Nothobranchius furzeri: one gene and its partner. The protein of the gene in region 1 interacts with the protein of each later gene in a pairwise test. Links are inferred from orthologs where the notes say so. Each region holds a gene or a part of one and is shown on either strand. Other genes may lie near its edges.

Evidence for each region. The genes of interacting proteins can lie anywhere in the genome.
Region 2: the proteins of disc1 (region 1) and rtraf interact in a two-hybrid assay, tested with the Homo sapiens proteins (2 studies listed by BioGRID and IntAct). The link is inferred for Nothobranchius furzeri from reciprocal best matches to the Homo sapiens genes DISC1 and RTRAF.

What each region holds. Positions count from the first base shown.
Region 1 is NC_091752.1:2,345,264-2,352,551, forward strand, and holds part of disc1 (disrupted in schizophrenia 1 protein), read left to right. Parts: intron 1-2,300; coding exon 2,301-2,355; intron 2,356-3,768; coding exon 3,769-3,871; intron 3,872-4,047; coding exon 4,048-4,236; intron 4,237-7,288. UniProt on the Homo sapiens protein: Involved in the regulation of multiple aspects of embryonic and adult neurogenesis. Required for neural progenitor proliferation in the ventrical/subventrical zone during embryonic brain development and in the adult dentate gyrus of the hippocampus.
Region 2 is NC_091754.1:55,849,940-55,857,327, reverse strand, and holds rtraf (RNA transcription, translation and transport factor protein), read right to left. Parts: upstream 5,160-7,388; 5' UTR 5,038-5,159; coding exon 4,977-5,037; intron 4,567-4,976; coding exon 4,442-4,566; intron 4,280-4,441; coding exon 4,180-4,279; intron 3,962-4,179; coding exon 3,881-3,961; intron 3,795-3,880; coding exon 3,706-3,794; intron 3,622-3,705; coding exon 3,553-3,621; intron 2,235-3,552; coding exon 2,186-2,234; intron 2,107-2,185; coding exon 1,952-2,106; 3' UTR 1,713-1,951; downstream 1-1,712. Other genes in the region: histone deacetylase complex subunit SAP18, read right to left, coding at 5,956-6,112, 6,210-6,332, 6,407-6,516. UniProt on the Homo sapiens protein: RNA-binding protein involved in modulation of mRNA transcription by Polymerase II. Component of the tRNA-splicing ligase complex and is required for tRNA ligation.

The sequences.
Region 1 (7,288 bases):
GAAAATAGTCCTTTTATTAAAGGAGGCTGGACAAAAATCCAAAGGCAAAAACGCTGACAAAAAGGCAAAACAGAAGGTCACTCATGAGCGAGGACAGGAGAATACTCGAGACAGACAAAACAACGCTGACAACTCTTTAAATCTTCTGAATTAATAAATAAACTTTTGCTATTAATTTAAATCTCTTAAATTAAATATTAGTCTTTTGATTTAAAATAGACCAAGCCAGTTGGTGTATGAACTTCTATCGATTATATAAATATCCGTGTATATATATAATAATATATATATATATAATATATATATATATATATATATATATATATATATATATATGTGTATATAAAATATACGGTAAGTTTCATTTGCCAATTCGTTTGATCTTTCTCAGAATTTAGCAAAGCTGAATAGCAAACAGCGTTAAATTCTAGTTATGTAGATCAACTACGCTACAAAGGCAATGGACCGACAAACACTAAGACACAGACAGGGTTATATACACAGGGCTGGGCGATAGGAGATGAGGAGCAGGTGCGTGGGGAATTGGGAACAGGTGAAACTAATGAACTGAGGGAAGAAGCAGAAACAAGCAGGGGAGAAAACCATATCTAAATCCTAAACCAAAGCTACTAAAATATAGCCTGGCCTGCCAGACTCCTCCTCTGTTTAACTCTGCACAGAGAAAGAGTCTGGGAACTCTCCTATTCAAATAACCCCGCCCCCTGAGAATTCTAACCGAGCCAATCAGCGCTGAGTAGCGTACGTCACACACCTCAACGCCGACTTTGTCATAAACATGGTGACTGAAGTGGAGTTCGCTGCGGCCCGTTCCTCTGTTCTAAATGACTTGAACACGTCTTTAAAACCACAAGTAGAAGCGCTAAAAGCCTTTCTTCTAAACAAAGACGCTTGTGCTGTCGCCAGACTCCATTTTTGACTACAGCTAAAAAAACTACAGCGTCGCGGACGTCACACACGGCGGTGCTCAGTTTGTCATAAACAGCGAAGACGGCGGCGGAGTTCGCTGCGACTCTTTCCTCTGTTATAAATGACTCAGATGTCTTTAAAAACACAAGCAGAAACGCTAAAAGCATTTGTTCTAAAAAATAAAAGATCTTTGCGCCGTTGCCAGACGCTATTTTTTTACTACAATAAGAAGTCTACCGCATCGTGCGGTACAGTCGGGATTTCCGTCTTTTTTCTGATTGGTTACTTTTGAGCTGCCTAGTCCCGCCCCTCAAGTGCCTCTCTGCCTGTGAGAGAATTAAACAGAGGACGAGTCTGGCAGGCCAGGCTAACTAAAATAACCTGAACTTTAAACACTGTAGAACAAAGACTAAAGATAAATTAACTAAGGATAAATGAAGTGACTAAAGGGAAACCCGAAGAAGCTGGGGACCAAAAGGGGGGCATAGAAGATTAGGGGACACATGAGGGGAACCAGGAGGGGGCTGGGGACCACAGGGACACAGAACATGACACAAAAACCTTTTTTGGGTCGCCGGACGGTGTGGGGATGTTTAGAACGTATAACTGGCTTCACTGGTGGACATGAATGACCCCTTATAGACTCCAAGGCAGAGAGGAAAATGATCTCTGCCTGCCCTAAACAAAGTCTTGTTTATCCTTATCTGACGCCAAGGCAGCCTCTCAAGGCTGCTCAACACTCCCCCACGAAAGGAGGAATGCTGACAGATGCTGTGTCCCGACCGTTCCCCCCCCCCCCCCGCCTTCAGATTGTGACTTCTGCTTCGAGGTCAGCAACCTGCAGGAAACTCAATGTGCTCTCTGTCCCTCATCCCTCCCTCCCACCTGTTTGACTGCAGCTGACTGAGCGCCATAATGGCAGCTCCCGTTGGAGGATTCAGGATCCCGCCCAACCCCGCCTCCCCATCGGACTCTGACGTTTTGTAACTGTGATGTTCGTGCTTCTATGTTGAGGAGTTTTTTTTTGTATAATAGAGCTACTCCCCGCTGGGTCTAACTCTTTTATGCCTTTTTTTTTTACCTTACCCCAATTATCCTCATGCAACACCCTTTCCATCTAATGAAATGAGCGCCATTCTGGCTGCTCTCGTGACTGCCTGTACCTGTTTCTGTCTACATGTGCGTCTGTTTAACCTTGGTCAGGTTGTGTTTGCGGACTCAAGTTCCTATGCACTGGGTCGCTGGAGCGCTGGCAATAAAGCTTATTCTGATTCTGATTCTGATTTTCTCTTGCTTTTAAACAACTGTTTGATTGACTCTAATGAATTAATGATTATTTCTTCTGTTTTGAACATTTTCTGCCTGTTTTGCAGACTGCAGGAGGAGGAGCAGGTGTTAAACCTGTCCATCAAGGAAGCTACAGCTAAAGTAAGCCCCTGCTCCTCTCACCTGATTTGTTTCCTTAACCGCTCAGCCTCCTCGCTGCTTGCCCACAGTGACTGAATGTGTATGAAAGCCTAATAGTCAGAGCAGACAGTAAGTGCCACTGTCGGAGTGCTCAAAATGCAAACTAAATGTCAGTCTGCATTCTTGTGATCTTTTTTGATTTGACAAAGCAGTGATCTCTTCACCGCTGCGTGCTGGAGTCAGAAGCAGCAGGATGTGCCATTTTGAACAGCTTTTTTTTCCCAAGTGAAATAGGGATGTTAAAGATAAAGCTGTCAGATTTTTTCTTTTGAGTAGAGGAAGTACATAATAAAGTAAAAATAGAAGTCTGGTCAGTATGGTGTGTTTTTGTTTACTCTCATTTGCTCCACAGGGATTGGACGTTCCCCTTTTATGCTAATAAAGCTTCTGCAGCTGGAAAAAAAAAGGCAAAAAAGTGTAAGAAATTGCAGTTTACAAACAGCAGGTATGAGAGGTCACGTGTCCTTTAGAAACCCATCATCAAACCACCGGTTTGCTGCACTTCAAAGCAACGTTCGCACTTCCACCAGTCGCAAGAGTTTCCATTGTTATGTTAGGAATGAAAAGTTTGGTTCTTAAATGAAATACCCACCATGTGGAAAACGGCACACTTGCTGTGACGGAACGATTCCCGGCATGAAAGTGACTCTCATTCTCTCCGCTTTTGCAAAATTGACAAAGCCTGATGTTTGGAAATGAAATCGTCGGTGTCAGAATTTCTACAGACGGCAGAAAGTGCTCCACAGAGCTTCTTGCATGAAGTCAAAAATTTCAAGCCTGTTTTGCTTTATTTCTGTGGGAGGAAAGAGAAAAAAAAGCCTCCCTGGAGATGTTCTGCCTGTGAAATACCAATCTATTTGACAACCATGTGCAGAACTGTGTCAGATTCCAGAAGAGGAATAAATGCATAAGAAGATCCACTTCTAGGTATCTTTGAGGTGTGAAAACAATTCTTCAAAAGAAACGAGGATTTTATGTGAATGCAGCTAAAAGTGTGTATGCTTAGGAGCAGAGTGGATGGATCGGATCTTTAAAAAAACTCCATAAATTCTGCTCTGAGCGGCAGCTTCTCATCCCAAAAACCTGCTCTGACTTTCTAATAGTCCATATATTATATGAAAATAAGCCTTTTGTGTCATCTCTAGAGGTTTTTGATGAGGAGAGATGATTCTCGGCTGTGCATTCAGAGCAGAACAGACGCTGAAATGCAGATAAACCTGTAAGGTCGTCAAAGAATGAGTTTCAGATAGAAAATGAAGGCAGACGAGGAAATGAGCAGTGCATCATGTGGGATCCATGCCTGTGCAAAGGTTTTGCTAGTTACCACCCTCCCCATCTCACTCCTCTGCATCTTCTTCTCCTCTTTATCCCCAGGTGGTCATGAGTCAGAGGCTGGGCAGCAGCCTGAGGAGAAAAGTCAGCGAGACCGACACGCAGCTTTTGGCGCTGCATGAAGCCAAACTGGCAGCCATCTCTGGTAACTTTCCACTGAGCTTTACCTCCAAAACCTCCCTGCTACATTACGCATCCTTTCATTTACCCCATTTGCTCGAATCGCTCACCATTAGCCTTGCTTGATTACCCCATTAATGCTCAAGAAGCTCATTAATAGGCGGTGAGAGTGTAATGCCCTCCTGTGGTGCACCGGCGCAGGTAATGACTTCAGCAGCGCCAAGGAGCTGAAGGCTGAGATGAAGGCGGTGTACCTGGAGCGGGACCGGCTGGAGGCTTTGGCCAAGAGGCTGCACAGCCTCAGCTCAGGGAGCAGCCAGGAGCTGGCCGGGATGAAGGAGCAGCGGCAGCAGCTCAGGCAGGAGCTGGAGCAGAGGGAGGCGCAGCACGGTGAGTCTCTGAGGCCTCCTGCAGGTAACAGGATGTTAATAAAATCAACAGCTCTTTCCTGTGATTCAACACTTCTATAGTGAAGAGCTCACCTGGTCATTAACTAGATGCCTGCAAACTGTTATGCTTTACTTTCCTTCCCAACTTAAACCAATACAAGGATGAAAACCTTTTATTAACAACAAACAAGCACCCAGAGAATTCCCTGCGGACTGCCTGAATGTTTTGATGTAAAAACACCACTACAACACCAACGCCGACAGATTATACGTGCTTACTTTGATTTAATGAGGTAAGCAGCAGTTGCTTGGCTAGAACGCTAAAAACCAGCCAATAAATCTAACATGATGTTTTTTCTAGTTTTAAGCAGTCTAGCCACGCAACCTTTTGTTTCTCCAATTGGCGGAATTTTTTTACCCAAAAATTATAAAATTAATAAAAAATATGAAGAATAACATGTCCATTTTTTTATTTTCACTTTCTTGTTGCACCACCAAAAAAAGGAGAATGACCAAACTTGTCGCTCTGTCAGCTCAAGCATCCCGCGTGGCTCCTCTAAACCCCCGCCGCTACTGCCTCCACGCTTATTTAAAACATTGGCAGTGATCTCTAGTTATACGTTTCGTGTCACACGCTGGAGAGAAAATCCTCCAGTGCACCTGTTTCGGGAACTAAAAGTGAGCCAAATCAAAGTTGAGCTTCAAATGATGATTTGGATTCTTACTTCCCGATATTTGGACACCTCGACGTAGACATGCGATTGGCTGACAGCAACGCCACTCCACCGCTGACCCCATTTGCTCTGCAACGTTGATGTTTTATCTCCACACATAAAACAAGCCTGGAGGAGTTCTGCTGTGTGGTGCTAATGCTAACGGTTAGCTTCTACTCGTCAAAATGTGCTCTGCTGTTTCCTGGATGCTGAACTGTCGCGAGTCGAGATCAAGGACAGTGTGACGTGAATCTGTCAGGCTTGACTAACTCTAGAGTTTCACCGTGTGTTTTCTGTTCGAAGGAAATGCAGGAAACAGGGATGGAATACTATTTTCACATTCAGAGTAACCGATCATTTAAAAAAACTATTTGTACCGTAATTTCCGGACTATAGAGCGCACCTCAATATAAGCCGCACCTGGCTTAAAGCCGCAGATATCTACTGGATAGAAGACGTAGTCTAACTGAACGTAACTGAACTGATCAGTATCAGACAAAACAGAAAAGTTACTGATTAGTTTGTTCATCGTCCTCCTGCGCTCTGAAACCACTGAAGTCATCTTCTTCTTCAGTGTCGGAGTTGAGCAGCCTCAGAAGAGCTTCGTCACGCACCTTTTCTGTGGCGATGTCCGTGTCATCATCCCGGGTGAAGCTGGGAAAACAAGCGGCGCCGTTTTACTGTGAAAAACCCCTCCTGGGTGCTTTCCGTAGCGCTCCTTTAACCATTCCTTCATTAGACTTTCCAGCATCCATCCTTTCTGGTGGACTAAAGCCGCACCTCATGGTAAGCCGCGTGGTTCAAAGCGTGGGGGAAAAGTAGCGGCTTATAGTCCGGAAAATAAGGTAATAAGGGTTAAGGAGAACCCTGAATGTGTCAAATAAAACAACCGATCCTGGGTCACTCAGGATGGAAACCCAACCCTCTCGCCATTATCACTCCACTGACCTGTTCTTTATATCTCCACAGCAAAGTTCTAGCAGATACACATGTTGACCACGTCATAAACACACGCCTCGTTGCAGATCTGCTGTTTGTTCAGATGCATTTCTAAAAGTGATCATTTATGCATCAGTTGTAGTAAATCAGTGGTTCCCAAACTTATTTAGCCGCGCACCCCCTTCTATGTCCCGACCATGTCGACGCACCCCCCCCCCCCCCCACACACACACACATCACGGCATGGCTATATATATATATATATATAGATAGATAGATAGATAGATAGATAGATAGATAGATAGATAGATAGATAGATAGATAGATAGATAGATAGATAGATAGATAGATAAATAGATAGATAGATATCAGACGTCAAGCTAAACAGACAGGGTTAAAAAAAATATGATCGACCTTTTTCCCCATCACTTTCATTTTTTAAATAGTAATTAATAAACATTCGATACCATTACAATTTCCTTTGATTTAATTTTAAATAAATATTTAGAGTGCCCAGGTAGCACATAAACAATGCAATTTAACGGTTTTCTTAAAGTAGGAACGTTTAATCTGTGCGGCCAGAGCGCTCTCCTTCCTTCTGCTCTGCGTAAACCTGAGCTGATCACCTACTTGTGCGTAATCAAATGTCTATAGGGGAAAAGCTTTAGCCATGAGGTTCACTTTTGCCTCAGACCGACTTATTGCTGTTTTATGGTGTGGCTGAATCTGCGATCCGCTGCCACGCGGACTGGAACAACATGCTGCAGGTTCGGAGTCACTGGCTGGAGCGGACCCGACTTTAATACATCATCCCAAAATAGAAGCTAATATCTTAATTTGACCTGGAATGAAAAATGTTGATATAAAACCTCTTAAAAGTTTTTATCACAGAGGAGGCAGCGCTCATTTCTGCCTTCAGTCTGACGGTATCAGTCTGGCGCGCCGGAGTTTGCGCAGCGTGCACTTATTGAATCTCTGTGTGTGTGTGTGTGTGTGTGTGTGCGCGCAGCACAGCTCCACGAAGCTTGGTTTATGCTTGACGCATTCACTTTCCGCTTGGTGATGCGTCTCGCGGAGGGAACGCGCTTCACAACTTGCAGCGTTTAAGTCACTGTGTCTCGTTATTGGCGCTATTTAAACCAACGTTGTAAAATGACTTCTGCCCAGCCCAGATGTGCTCACTTGTGCACCCGTGAGCCGTGGTTCCGGAACGCGTCTGACCTCTGACAGACGCACTCTAAACTTCAGATCTTCAGCGCGTGTGAGGTTTACAATGTCAGAACACCTGCATGAGACAGGTGTTAATTACAATCTGCCAGAATGACTCGCCACCTTCAGATTCCTCCAACACCGTTAAAATGATCAAATACGGAACATATCGGCGTGCGCAGGCCAGAGTGC
Region 2 (7,388 bases), on another chromosome or scaffold:
TTTAAAAAGAACGAAAGCATGGAATTAGAAAGACACAGCAAGAACACACCTAAGATGTTCAAAGAACGAGTTATTTTGATTGTCGTGGAAAAGACGTTAGACTGTGTGAGAAGGGTCATTTCACTAGCCTCAAGCAGAGGAAACATCTCAGGATGTAGAAACGACTAAAACTGGTTTAAGTTATTAAAAACTGGTCTGATGAGTCCAGATGGACCCTGTTCCAGAGTGATGGTGCATCAGGGTAAGAAGAGAGGCAGATGAAGTGATGCACCCATCATGCCTACTGTAAGCCTGTGGGGGCAGTGTCATGATCTGTGGTGGCTGCAGTGTGTCAGGTCTAGGTTCAGCAACAGGATGTGCTCCAAGAATGAGGTCAGCTGCCAGCTGTGGGCGATGGTGGCACAGGAGTTAAGTGCTCGCCCCGTAATCGGAAGGTTGCAGGTTCGAGCCCCGCTCAGTCTGTCGCTGTCAATGTGTCCTTGGGCAAGACACTTAACCCACGTTGCCTGCTGGTGGTGGTCGGAGGGACCGGTGGCACCAGTGCTCGGCAGCCTCGCCTCAGTCAGTGCACCCCAGGGCAGCTGTGGCTACATCGTAGCTCATCACCACCAGCGTGTGAATGGGTGAACGACTGGTTGTGTTGTGAAGCGCCTTGGGGGGTTCCAGGACTCTAGAAGTCACCATATCAAATACAGGCCTCTTGAATGACCAGGTTATTCCATCTTCCCTGACGGCACGGGCATATTCCAAGATGACAATGCCAGGATTCATCGGGCTCAGATAGTGAAAGAGTGGTTCAGGGACCATGAGACATCGTTTCCACATATGGATTGGCCACCACAGAGTCCAGACCTTAACCCCGTTGAGAATTGTTGAGTTATCTGGGGTCACGTCTTGAAAAATGACCATTTTTGGATTTGAAGCTATAAAGTTTTGGAACAGCTGGACAAGAGGACCACCTCTAAGACATTTGCTCTTCCTTTAATTGCAGTTGGACATTATTCAGAAGTTTAATGTTCTTGAGACTGTGGATGGGGACACGTGAAGATAATTAATGAATAAGACATGATAATATGAGCGACAACCAGAGTCCAGCAGTTTCCAGAGTGGTTAGAGGACAACTCTAATATTAAGGTTTATCATTGTTAGATGAAAGCACCTTTCTCTTTTTGGACATGAAAGACAACCGAGGACACCATGGAGTTTTAGACGGATGAGATCAAATTGGAGCTTTTTGGCAAACGCCTCATCTCTATGATCACAAACACAAGCTCGGTTCTGCTCTGCTGCATCTGGACCAGAGTCTTGAATCTGTTCAGGGTCCAAATGAAATCTTAGGACTATCAATGTTCCGAAACATTCTAGTGTTTCAACCATAAAGCGGATGATTTCAGAAAAATTTGAAGAGTTTGGGGGCCTGTCTACTTTGTAGAAGGCATCAGCACCAAATCAGGATGTTGCCACCACCATGCTTAACAACTGGTTCAGTCTTGGATCGTTTTAAACAGCCCAGTCTGGTCCGATGAGAAAACTTTCCTAAAGGAGACATTTTTGTCCACGAGGACAGTCGAGTTAGAAGGTATCTCTTGACACAGTCAAAGTCAAACTCCTGAACCAAATTCTTTTTTCCATCCAGAATAAAACCAATCACAGAAACCCCAGAATCAGGAAGTCGATTAAGTCTGGCACAAAGTAAATAAGCAAAATTAATATTTACCGACTCAAAATAATCGTTTTATTCCCGCTGTGGAGAAAAACACCAGCTCAACAGTATCCACCTCACCGCTTCCTGCTGAACAACAAGCGGTAAATGAACATCTGACCCTGGATGTTTAAAACTGATGCAACAACAGAATCATTTATGTCCCTTTAACCATCCCAGCAAACAAGAAGGGCCTTTGTTCTCAAAATTAAATAAAAATAAAATCTCCATCAGTCCTTTGCTTCCTCCTCATCTGCCGACCTTGCCCAGCCTGTGGTCCGTCTTTGGGTCGGCTATGATGGCCTGAACGGCGACGATGGCCTCGTTGATCTTTGTCTGCAGCTCTCGTAGCTCCTCGATGTGCAGCAGGCGCAGGATCTGGGCCGCCTCGTTCAGGGTCGCATCTGAGGTCGGAGAACCACGGAGGTCAGTTTTTCTCTTCTACACCGATGGGTGTTGTGGTAGCCAAACACAAAAACTCACCTCCAGTGTCAAAACCCAAAACGTGTTTGTCTAAAGCCACCGGGACTCCCTGGGGACAAAAGAGAAAGTATGAAGCTTAAAGATCAGAATCACAAGCTGAAGGTGATCCAGAACAAAATGTTTTCTTTCAGATTTACTGATCATCGATTTAAATGAAACAACATGGGCTAAGAAAATAAATAAATAAAGACTTCACGTGACATTTTTATAGTGTGTACACTCAAAAAAAATCATAGAACAGCTCAGGACTTCTGAAGAGTGTTTCTGGTTAAATGTCGTCTAGTTGTTGTGGAAAGGCCTTTGAAAACCCTCAGTTTAGAGAAATGGAGATTAGCTAATTGTGACAAGCTAGCAGCTAGTCAAAATGAGGCTAATTATAAAATGTCTTAAAATAACTACAATCTCTAAATCATGCAAATACTTTTTTACAATTAATACTGTCATAAATGTCATGTTTTGTAGTTAATCTAGCACAGTGGTTCTCAATTAGTGAGGCGGGGCGGCTTGAGAGTCCACGTAAGTAGAAGCCATATTCAACACGTACCTTGACATCACTGAAAAGAATTGAGGACAACTGTTTAAGCAGAAATATTATGAAAAGCCAGCCAGAAGCACCATGTGTGTAAATAATAGGGGTGTGTATTGGTGAAATTACGGCGATACGATACACATCATGATACAGGGAAGACGATACAATACATCACGATATATTGCGATACATTCGATATTAACGACTTTTTTTAGACTGAATTTATCATAGTGAAATTCAACAAACAATCCAAACCGATACTAACATGTTTAACATGAGGTATCTGAACCATAATGGAGGGATTTGCATTTCAACGGTGGAAACAAAACCCACTGGCACACTGCTGCCAACTAGTGATCGGCGTTTGAATTGCACCAAAAGAAATGAAAATACACAAATGTTTGTATGTAAATTCTTCCAAAAATTAGATACACTGCTTTTGAATATCGATATATCGCAGAAAACTATACCGCAATATATTGCGATATCGATATTTTCGATACACCACTTTTGAAAATCGATATATCACTGAAAAAAATATCACGATATATTGCCATATCAATATTTTCTGACAACCCTAGTAAATTATTATTATTATTATTTAATAACTGATATATTTTTAACTAGAGCGTTTTAAAAATTGCAAACTCTTTCTCCAAACTGAGGCCATTCAAAGAACTCCCTACAGCTGGTAAGATACTAACTGTTCACAGAAACACAGAAAAATGTTTAACGTTATCTTCAAGACTAATAAGGTCATTTTCTTGACCATTTTAGCTAATTCTACCATTTCTGTTTAATTGACTAGTTTGTTGCTGTTTTACAGTGTAACGTGTACCTCTCTGTTCTGGTTGGCTTTTGTGATGGCCTCTGGTGAAAGTCTCTCCTGGATCAGGATGCGGATAGCCTGCCGAGTGAAAACATTAGGAAACGTCACAAAGTAAACAACTTGAGCACATTCAGGGATGATGTAGACACGCATACAGCTCACCTTGAGCATGACCAGGTAATCGTCGTGTCGTTGGATCTTTAGAATGTTCGCCAGAGCGGTGACTCCTGCTTTAAAATCTGGAGAACTGCCTGAAATGTATTTATTTTTTATTAGACCTTTAGGTGATGAATGAAACGTTAAAAGGTAGTAACAGCAAAGATGTGTTCCTGCTTACTGTCCAGGTTGATGAGAGGATCCACGGCTCTGTCGCCGTTCCCCGAAGCGGCCAGCGGCGGGCAGTTTTTATACTTATCAACTACAAAACAAAACACCCAGAATAAGGAAAAAACGCCATCATATAATAACCTAATTATAATTCAGCTTTCTATGCGTGTTGGCATTATTTCCTTTGTTATGGCCCCCTCTATTGGTCGTGGTCGGTATTTCAACCATTGACACGCCACATCAAAGCTGTGATTTCTGAATAAATATCATTTTAGGAGGTTTTTACAGATAAACGATCACATCAGATACCGTTGTCTCCATATTCATAACGCACAGCCAGCCCCAGTAACCAGTCCAAAGCCTCCTTACGCTCCTGGACTCCAAATGGACAGGTCAGGTCCTGCAGGTACTACACACACACACACACACACACACACACACACACACACACACACACACACACACACACACACACACACACACGCACGCACACGCGCACACACACACACACACACACACGTAAGCTCTAGTTGGGACTCTTGTTAGGAGATAAGCTCTGAGATAGTCTCACCTTCTCATAGGCTTTGGGCCACTCAGAGCTGGGGATGTTCCTAAGGTTGCCCCGGTCTTCGATCTTGTAGTGTCGGATCTTCTGGTCCTCCAGCCACACGATGCAGTTTCTGAAGTGAGTTTCATCTGACAAAAGCGGATGCGTCACTATTTTACTGGTTTTATGAAAACACATAATTTTTTTAATCACCATCTGCTGTTATACACTCTGATAATTAGTGAAGCAAAGGAGTCCAGCTGTTTAACTGATAAATATAGCCCAATGAGACACACGGTCATCGTTTAGTCTGCTAGACTAGCAAAATACATCCCTAGAAATGAAGCTATCTTACAAATATTAATGCCGAATACACATGTGGTGTGTTTTTGATTGATTTATGAAGATATTAAAGCTGATAAAACACGTGTGCTACTAAAACTGAGCACAACCTTAAAATAGTCTATTTGTAGCGTTTAGTTCGCCGCCTCAGGACTTCGTGCTAACTTGGTTCCATTAAAACTCACCGAACCTCCTAAACAGCCTGTTTATTGCTTACCTGAGCAGTCGAACCCGCTGGGATCGTGATAATCTAGAGCTGTTAGTTTTCTGCGAAACATTTCACGAAGTTTTAATGTGAAACCCTTCGTTGTTTCTAAATAATTAAACCTTAAATGACCACTACGTTGCTAGCTCAGTGTGCGGCAGCGCGCATGCGTTGTCGGAGTTGAGTATTTCCGGTTGTGCTTTCCAAAATAAGAGCTAACAACGAATTCACATCTGAAACAAGTGTCTTATTACGTCACAGGATGGATGCTACTCTGAAGGAACGAACTGGTTTAGTAAAGGAAGTGTATGGAGAGGCCAGGAAAAAGGGGACCTTTGCCATTGTCTCTTTTTCAAATACCCACATTTGAGTTTGTTGAAGCATACGTCCATTACTTTAAGCTTGTAGACACCAAAGAGCTTGAAATAACGTTATCCGTGGTCTATCTTTTTCTTTAAAATGACTTAATACCAGCTCAGTGGTCTAGTGGTAGTGTGTCCGCCCTGTCTGGAATTCGGGGTTCAAATCCCAGTCGTGTCACACCAAAGACTTTAAGAATGGGACCCAATGCCTCCTTGCTTGACACTCAACTTTAAAATGGTTGGATTGGGGGTTAAACCACCAACTGGTTCCTGAGCACAGCCATAATTACAGCTCACCCATCCCTATGGCGATGGGTCAAATGTGGAGATGGCACCTTAACTTAAATACATAGTTTATATAACGAAACAGAGAAGTCTCTATACAAATTTGCAAAAAAAAAAAAAAAAAAAACTTTTTAAATTAAGGATTATCATTCAAGTGAGTTTGGTATGTTTGATCAAAACTGGTCTGTTTTTGCAAATTAACTCTTCACAAACACACATTATTGATATTAACTACTCAACAACAGTCTATAGGGAAAAAACAGCTTTATTAAACATGAAGAATTATAAAATGAGGCTAAACTACTCAAGAGAACCCAAAAACAGATGTATCGCTTCATGTGCGTTCAGAAGGGCCTCATGCGTTGGTTGAGGGGCGGGGCTCTGTTGGGCGGTGTGATGGCTATGTCCAAATAGTCTCCAATCTGGAACCGCTGGGACTGCAGCGTCATGGAGTCTTCCAAACCCTTCCTGCCAGACATGGTACTGCCGATCTCTTTTAACCTGAACATTGTAAAAAGAGATGCACAAACTCAGTCCACAGGAATTCATGAACAATAGTATGATTTTACGACCCCGATCTGTGTTGCTCGACACTTACTTGTACATTTTCCCTCTGGGTTCTGGATAGACTATGGCAAAGCTGAAGTGGGTCCCCTTTTTCCTGGCCTCTGGATACACTTCCTTCACTAAACCAGTTAGTTCCTTCAGAGTAGCATCCATCCTGTGATGTAAACAAACACTTGTTTCAGAGGTTCTGTAGCATATACCAGAAACGTAATGGTTTGTAAGTCTTACCAAGTGTAGATTTGCAACTCGCTGGAAGGAACGTTCCCTCTAGAAAATTCCTCTATTCTGTGGTGTCGGCCACTGTTGGTAGTAAATACTCTCAGGAGGAGGGGGCAGGTCTGAAGGAAACAAGAAAACTAAGTTAAACATAAGCAAAAGTACAAATAAATATCACATTCTTTACATGTGATTTAAATATATGAACACATTTAGAATAACTGATGTAAATGTCAGTGTTATTTCAATGATTCAACTGGATTTTTTTTTTACATAAACCTTATTTTGAAAGTTTTCATCAGGGCAAAGTGAGTTCCGAAGTGAGTCTTCGCTGCCCCCTGGTGGCCGTAATAAGTACCTACAGCTGATAGAAAGAAATGGCTTTTTAAGATTGCCATCTGGTTCCTGATTAAGAAATTTAGTGAACTTTTCTGCAACCTTTTAATGCACATGTGGGAAAAATGTTTTTATTAGGCTGAACCCAAAAACAGAAATTACAATTTTTTTACAGAATAAGAAAAGTTATCTTAAACTATATTTGAAATATGATTGCCCTTTTCTATTAAGCATTTCTTATTGTAAAATATTTATTTATATCAATTCTTTATTATTGTAAATTATCCAATAGAAACTTATTTGTTTTCGCAGGTATAAGTCTACAGCAAATAAAATCAATTTATAATTCACAAATATCCGTTATTTTTTCTTATGGTCAACCCTTTTTCTCCTGCTAAACGTAAATAATAGACAATTACATCTACCTTCGTTTATTTATTTAACAGTTTTATTTGTGTTTCTGCTGTTTATTACTCTTGTGCTTGCGCGTTAAAAAGCACAAATAAAAATACTTGCTTTTTTTAAGTTTATTTATCTGCCTTAAGAACAATAAAAATGCAGGCTTAAAAGTATTATTTTCAACTTTCAAATGTAACCATGTTTATCTGTTCAGGGAAAACCGACTCATTTACAATACTGAAAACATTTAGAGGTCTTT